2 linked regions of the Xenopus tropicalis genome follow. The protein of the gene in region 2 interacts with the protein of the main gene of each other region in a pairwise test. Links are inferred from orthologs where the notes say so. Each region holds a gene or a part of one and is shown on either strand. Other genes may lie near its edges.

The links.
Region 1: the proteins of ubxn11 (region 2) and eif4e interact in binary tests that used the Homo sapiens proteins (3 or more experiments, as listed by UniProt). The link is inferred for Xenopus tropicalis from reciprocal best matches to the Homo sapiens genes UBXN11 and EIF4E.

What each region holds. Positions count from the first base shown.
Region 1 is NC_030677.2:74,905,839-74,909,665, reverse strand, and holds part of eif4e (eukaryotic translation initiation factor 4E), read right to left. Parts: intron 3,294-3,827; exon of another isoform or gene 3,163-3,293; intron 1,162-3,162; coding exon 1,022-1,161; intron 1-1,021. UniProt on the Homo sapiens protein: Acts in the cytoplasm to initiate and regulate protein synthesis and is required in the nucleus for export of a subset of mRNAs from the nucleus to the cytoplasm which promotes processes such as RNA capping, processing and splicing.
Region 2 is NC_030678.2:77,358,122-77,362,048, forward strand, and holds the start of ubxn11 (UBX domain-containing protein 11), read right to left. Parts: upstream 2,168-3,927; 5' UTR 2,115-2,167; coding exon 1,867-2,114; intron 1,632-1,866; coding exon 1,591-1,631; intron 708-1,590; coding exon 615-707; intron 480-614; coding exon 379-479; intron 1-378. UniProt on the Homo sapiens protein: May be involved in the reorganization of actin cytoskeleton mediated by RND1, RND2 and RND3. Promotes RHOA activation mediated by GNA12 and GNA13.

The sequences.
Region 1 (3,827 bases), on a different chromosome or scaffold from region 2:
CAAACTTTCAAATGTTAACAATATTACCTGTGCCTCATAAAAAACCATTGATGAATTTACAAGATTAGTAGCACTACTATTATGTAGGTAAATGTTGCAAAAAAATGATCAGATGATACTTGATGGTATTGGGGAGCGATTCTACTATATAAATTTTATAGAAATGTGTTTGATGGGCTTCTAGGATTAAAAACATTGTGAGATTACTTATTTGAGAAATAAAGTTAAGGCTGTAAACTACAAGATGTCCAGGCAGTCAGAGGTGAGCTACAAAATGGCAGCATTTTAATGTCTTTTTCACTCTCCATTTTTCAGATATTGCTTTATGTTCTAGTAAAGTGGCATTTAAACAAATACTAATGAGCCCACTGGACTGATCTTTGCAGTTTAATCTTCAAAATTTTCTCAAAATAAAAATGCCAGAAGGAAAAATATCAAAATCTAAATCTGAGGGTGAAAAGCAGTTCTTTAAAAATGTCTAAGAACCTTTGATAAATTGGTCCTTTAGTATATAAAATCTTCAGTGCTATGCTTAGTGAATAAAAGCACATATTTAATAAGGTAAGTCCATTTACATGCTTTTGTTTGTTTAACCATCTTAAAGTTCTGTTGCACAGTAAGTGAGGACTCCATGCTGGGGATCAAACACTTGACCCAAGCATGCCGATTTTGCTAGGCCATGTGAGCGTGCCTCTTTGAACATATAGACACAAAACATACACCAACATATATTCTCATTAAGAAAGCATTTTAGAAAGAACCTCAAGTTGATCAAAACTAAATTCGTGATCTCTGCCCCGGGGCAGGTTGCCAAGAATAAAAGGGCAATATACATGTCTTGTTCAACCTGAGTGCAATGAAAATGGCTTGTGATAACCAAACTTTCTGCCTATTGTTATCTATGGTTTTTGTTATTCCCTTAAGTAAGCAGGCATATTGGAGCTATTCCATGTTTGTTCCTAGCAGGTCTAAATTAGATTACCAGCGCACACATAATTTTAAGGAAATAATTCTGACTTACCCTATATGTGTAACAGCGTCCCTGTTTTCAAATTCAGTAGTCCAGATTGCTATTTTATCCCCTTTTGCTCTAACATTTACAACTGCTCCACATACATCGTCGCTATATTCATCAAAGGACTCTCCAATAAGGCACATAAGCTGTAAGATGAACAAACGTAAGGAGACATGCTACAATTATTATTATTAACATTTATTTATAAAGCGCCAACATATTCCGCAGTGCTGTACAATAAGTGGGTTTCATACATTGGACATACAGAGTAACATATAAAGCAATCAATAACCGATACAAGAGGTGAAGAGGGCCCTGCCCAAAAGAGCTTACGATCTACAAGGAGAATCAAACAGAAGAAAAACAAAACTGATACCTAATCATTGTAATGATTTATTACATATAGGTTACCTAATTTAAATGTAAATAGTGTCATTTAGAAATAAAAAGTAGACCATAAAATCATTCCAACTTGCAGATTAGTGTGACTGAAGTTTATCGAAGCACAGGTCACATGGCTGTGGCACCCTGGGAAATGAAGAATATGGCTAGCCCCATGTGATTTCTCAAAATTAAATATAAAAAAAAAAAATCGGTTTTTGAAAAATGGATTTCAATGCAGGATTCTGCAGGAGAAGCTCCTTTAAGGGGACATGTTACAACCAAAATACCTGTACAGAAGAATGATCTTTCAGCTTTCAGTCTAAATGTATTTTTGTGCTCTAATACAGAATGTTTGTCCTCTTAAGTGTGTGCTCAACTATTGGGCACTTTCTATAAAAATACTAGCGATAATATAGTTCAACACTCAAAAACAGAAGTGACATAATTATTGTAACACATGTTTTAATAAATAAAAGTTGCCTGATTTCTTATCCGAATATATAAATATATATGTCAAAGCTAATGCATAGCCCCACTAAAAAAGGCTTCCGTCAACATGTAAGTCAAGTATTCATTGCAACTTTTGTTGGGGAAATATATTTGCAAAAACCAAAGCAAATCCCTACCCCCAACCCTATTTCAGTCCTACAGTTATCCCTTACTGTTAGCCCGAGTGCCTTATAAAATAATGGGCTTGCTGTACTTCAAGTTTTACCAGATAATGAAACTGTAGACCACTTGTTATTTGGGGGTATATTTATCATGCTGTGTAAAAAGTGGAGTTAAAGATCACCGGTGATGTTGCTCATAGCAGCCAATCAGATGCTTTGCTTTGATTTTCTAACTGTTACAATCTAATTGCTGATTGGTTGCCCTGGGCAACATCACCAGTAATGCTTCACTCTACTTTTTACACAGCATGATAAATATACCCCTAAGCTATAGTTGTGGAGATCCCTTAACAGATGAATGCTGAAATGTGAGCAGTGACCAAATATCAATTATAGTTCACATGCAGAGACTTTATATACCATGTTGGTCTATTGTTTATAGCAATCTCTGGATTCACTGCAGTCTTTATGGAGTAGATGTAATAAGTCATGAGTGTAATTTTTAAGATGATGTCACATGTTCACAACTACTATTGCTACATGAATAAAGCATACAATAAAGAAATATCACTGCAAACCAAAATCATTGCGCTCTCAGGAAGTAACTCAAGAAGTGTTAAAATACTTTAAGGAATCTTAGAGCTAAAAAATGTGTACATTACACACCTGTTTCTGACACAAATTAATTTAAACAGGGTTAAAGAAATAAAATATTGAATAGAATATAGAATACTAGTATTTATTTTTGTCTTACAACAAAATGTAATTGCGCCCTGTCAATTGATTTAAATGGCAACCACCTGTGACCGCTTATACAGTAGTTGCCATTCAAGACAAGAGACATAGGCAGTTGGTGTGCCTTAGTCTTACCAGGAAAACATTCCGAGACCAAGTGCTTCACGTGACTTCTCCTATGGGGTTTCATTTTTGACATTGCAAATAAACATGGTTTTCGTGGAAAGGAATTTGTGGTTTCAAAGAACTCAAACCACTAAAATTATAATGTTGATAAATGGGCCTCTAAGACAACACTTTAATTTTACCAGAAGTGCATAAAAACGATTAAAAAAGAATGAAGTAGGAAATGCATGTAAAACACCCCCACTGCGTATGCAATTTAGTAGCTGAAAACAGAATGCTATTAACATTTAGACGTGTTGGTAGATTAAGTAGGTCCTGTGTACAAACTTGCAAACAGTCCTGTTCCTCTACCATTTTATGTAGGAGGACAGTATCAGTAGGATCCATGAAACTTGAAAAGATCTACTTTCTTAATCCTCCATATATATGGCAATAATGCAGGGTAAATTATAAGAACAGCTTCTAAACATCACTTTAGTGATAAGCATCTTAAAAAGCAGTGATGTAAAACAGAACACGTGCAAACACTAGAGAAAAGCATAATGAGCATGAGATAGAGATTAATGTTAAGTCTTTAAAGGAGAAGGAAAGGCTAAGTCACTTGGGGGTGCCAAAATGTTAGGCACCCCCAAGTGACTTTAATCACTTACCTTGTACCCCAGGGCTGGTGTCCCTGTTAGGAGAAAACAGCACCAGCCCAGGGTACCTGTAGCGCAGCGCTTCCTCCTTCGTTTTGCAAAGACTAAACGACAGGCACATGCGCAGTAGAGTGCGAAGCCGAATTCTCTGTTAAAGCTTGGCTTTTTCACTCTACTGCGCATTTTGGCACCCCCAAGTGACTTTGCCTTTCCTTCTGCTTTAAAAAGTTGTAGGTCCATATCTGTTTAGGTCTATGTGAGTTATTAAAATACTATAAGGTGTGTTGCTGTAATGGACCAATTTCCCTGTTTTATACA
Region 2 (3,927 bases):
TGAAGGGTGGGTGAGTCCTAACAAGCCCTGCCAAAGAAAAGTAGGAGGGGGAGAGCCACTCTCACAAGCAAAGACAGGCTTCAGTTCCCTATCAGGTCAGCCTAGCTGCTGATTGGTACAGTGCAGTGTACTGAGAACCGCCGCCCCCCCTGCACATCCAGAGAATTCAGCCAGCAGGAAGTAAGACAGATGGGCGGGACAAGTGGGGTTTTGGTGGAATTTCTCAATAAATCAGTCTAAAACACAACTTTTTTAAGCACAATCCTTCTATAATTCACTGGTACATTCTTAACTTTTATATAATATGTCTCCTTTAAGGGACTATACTCAAAAGTAAAGGACAAAATGGCTCTTTGGATAAAGGGTCTCAGTGCTGACCTTTGATTGTATCTCCTGTTCCTGGGCCCGCACCCTCCTTTCCAGCTCTCCTAAACGCTTCATTGTAGAATTTAGCAGGTCAAAGTCACTGGGAGCCGAACCTGCAACCACATTACACTGTTCAACTCTATACCTTTCAGTAAACCTTAATTTGACAACAGTTAAGTAAGATACAGTATTGTGTTATGGCAATCAGTACCAAAAAGTCCATTAGACCAAATGAAACTGGTACTAACCCTGCACAACTTTCCCCAGATGGGAGTAATTCCCTTTGTTTGTGGGTCCTGTGGTGTTTGATGGGAGACCTTCAAGTAGCATCATCTCCTCTTCTGCAATCAACAAACAGATATTAGTGCATTCCCTTGAATAATAAACTAAAGCTGGCCATACACTATTAGATCCACTAATTTAGCTAGGTCTTTCCTCTAATACACTCACCTGAGGTGAGCAATATCTGGCTAATCCCCAATTAGTTTGTATGTTCCTGAGAGTTAAGAGTTAAAGGAACAGTAACACCAAAAAATGAAAGTGTATAAAAGTAACTAAAATATAATGTGCTGCTGCCCTGCACTAGTAAAAGTTGTGTGTTTACTTCAGAAAATCTACTATAATTTATATAAATAAACTGCTATGTAGCCATGGGGGCAGCCATTCAAAGGAGAAAAGGCACAGGCACATAGCAGATAACAGATAAAACACTATTATACTCTACAGAACTTGTCTGTTATCTGCAATGTAACCTGTGCCCCCGTGGCTACACAGCAGCTTATTATATAAATTATAGTAGTGTTACTGTAGCAAACACACCAGTTTTACCAGTGCAGGGCAACAGTGCATTATATTTTTATTACTTTAAAGCTGTGGAACTGCTGTTTTAAATACTTTGTAATCTTGGGATAAAGAACTTGCAATCTTGATTGCAAGGCACTGTCACGGTCAGCGGGATGGGGATAATACAACTAAAACTTGGAAGGACAGAGACAAAAAAACTGAATGCGATGCATTGAAAATAAAAGTAAATACAAACCACTAAATTACTGTTTAATTTTTAACTCTGAGAACCCCAAACAGCTTATTTATTATTTATTCTAAATATATCCACAAGAAGATAAAACTGAATAGGTTTGTAAAAATGGGAATATATTGGCCCAGATATGGCCTTTTTTTGATCACTGATATGTGCAATTAATGGGTAGAACAAAAATAACTCACCCGTGTAGTATGCCATGGATTTGAATGGTGCAGCTCGTCTTCTAAGAAGAAAATAAAAATATTAAAAGATGCTCATTCTTTTTCTCAAGTAATATCTGGGGGGTACTTTGTAAACATAAGCAGAAATAACAGTTAGATAACAGATAGATAATTTGCTCAAGAAGAGTAGCTTTTACAAAGGTTGCTGAACTGCAGCCTCCAGCTCTGGCCGCTGGCTCCCAGGGGATACTGGATGATGTAGTCCAGAAACGGATGAAAATACTTGCAGTTAGTTACCCAGGGGATTCAAGCGCAGGTAACTGGTTCGGCGATTTAATCTGAGGTTTCGACAACTGCCCTGCCATGGGTATGTCAGGTTCCCTTATTAGTTCCAGAGTCGCAGAGGTCCTGCTCCCATCGTCACAGCGAGCCAAAGCCTGCAAAGGTGTTTCGTGCGCCTGTTTTTGCCCCCCGCTGTAACTCTGCTGGGCCAATGCTATTCTGGTTTTACGGGGTCTTCCCAGAGTAAATAAAGGGCTGCTCATGCTGCACTCACTGGGTCGCCATATTGTTTGGTACAAGTCGCTAGGTAACGCTTGCAGTATTCTGATTGGCTGCGCAAAGAGCAAGCGCGCATAGAGCAGATTGAGGCGTTGGGGTTTTTGTCTATTAAAGGTTTAATAATTTCGATTCTTTGTGTGGAGGCATCTGCTAGGGACAGTAGGAAAATCTATGTTTATTTTGTGTTTTTGCTTTGTGTTATTCACGGCTGGTGTAACGCTTATCTAAAACTGACAAAACCTTCCATTTTACTTTAGAACGATAACTGCAAACAAAATGTCTGATAGTTTACAACAGTGCTGTCCAACTGGCGGCCCGCGGGCCGCATGCGGCCCGCGACCCCCCTCTGTGTGGCCCCCCACCTGTCTGACTGCTTTGATGGCTTACTCTTGTGTAAGCTTTAAATGGTATCAGTACTGTGATTAACTTCCCCCCCTGCATGGTTCTCACCTCAGATTCAGGCTGTAATCAGGCTGTATTGTTTAAATATGTAATCCCCTGTGTTTTTCACACCTTTTAGTTTCTGCATTGTTCCCCCCCTGCAGTGTTCACACCTCAGGCTCAGGCTGTAATCACCCACATTGTTCCCCTGTTCACACCTCAGGAGCAGTAGAAACCCACAAATAATCCCTGCACACTACAAAAAGAACATATACTGAGGTGGTACTGCAATTAAAAAGTTTTTTTAATATATAGTTATTGTGCAGACTGTAGGAGCAGTGCCAGCATTGTGTCACTGTAGGCTGCCTGTGTGTGCCATACACACAGGCATCATAGGGCAAGCAGAGTATGGCACACACAGGCAGGGTAGGGAAGGCAGAGTATGGCACACACAGGCAGGGTAGGGAAGGCAGAGTATGGCACACACAGGCAGAGTATGGCACACACAGGCCAAGTATGGCACAAACCAGCCAAGAATGGCAAACACAGTGAAAGTATGGCACACTCAGGCAGGGTAGGGAAGGCAGAGTATGGCACACACAGGCAGGGTAGGGAAGGCAGAGTATGGCACACACAGGCAGAGTATGGCACACACAGGCAGGGTAGGGAAGGCAGAGAATGGCACACACAGGCAGAGTATGGCACACACAGGCCAAGTATGGCACAAACCAGCCAAGTATGGCACACAGGCAGGCAGAGTATGGCAGGTTTTTGCTGTACTACAACCATTAATATGGGTATGGTCATGTGATAACATGGGTGTGGTTTCAAGTGGGTGCAGTTTCAAAAAGGGGAGTGGTCAAAACTGGCTTCCATTATCGGCCCTCCACCACGCAGGTCGAAAAAATTCCGGCCCTCGGTACAACAGAAGTTGGACAGCACTGGTTTACAATATAACTAACACGAGTGTTTGGCGTTATGAACTGGATGCTGAAAGGCACTGCTCAGTCAGTTGTGCAAAGGTATTTGTGTGTGGGTACTAGCTAAACTGTGGCTGGAATCGGTAGGGTAGGCATTATGGAGGCTGGACTGTAAGCGCCGCCTGGTTATAGCCCGAAGCGCAATGGTACGTGAGACCAGCAGGTGGCGCACCATTCTTATACAAGTTTTATTACCTGTTTTTGTAATATACGCTTAAAATCATGCAGTTTATATCGCGGTCTGATCCGTTATCGGTGCTCAAAACAGGAGCGATGGTTTGGTGTTTCTCTGCCTTTAGGAATTCACGTTAAGTTTTCTTTGTACTTCACCCTCCTCCTATTAATAGACAAACAATATAGCGAAATGTAAGAAAACAGCACTGTAAAAAAACACATGATAAAAAAGAGAATATGAGCATCCTGGATAAAATGACCT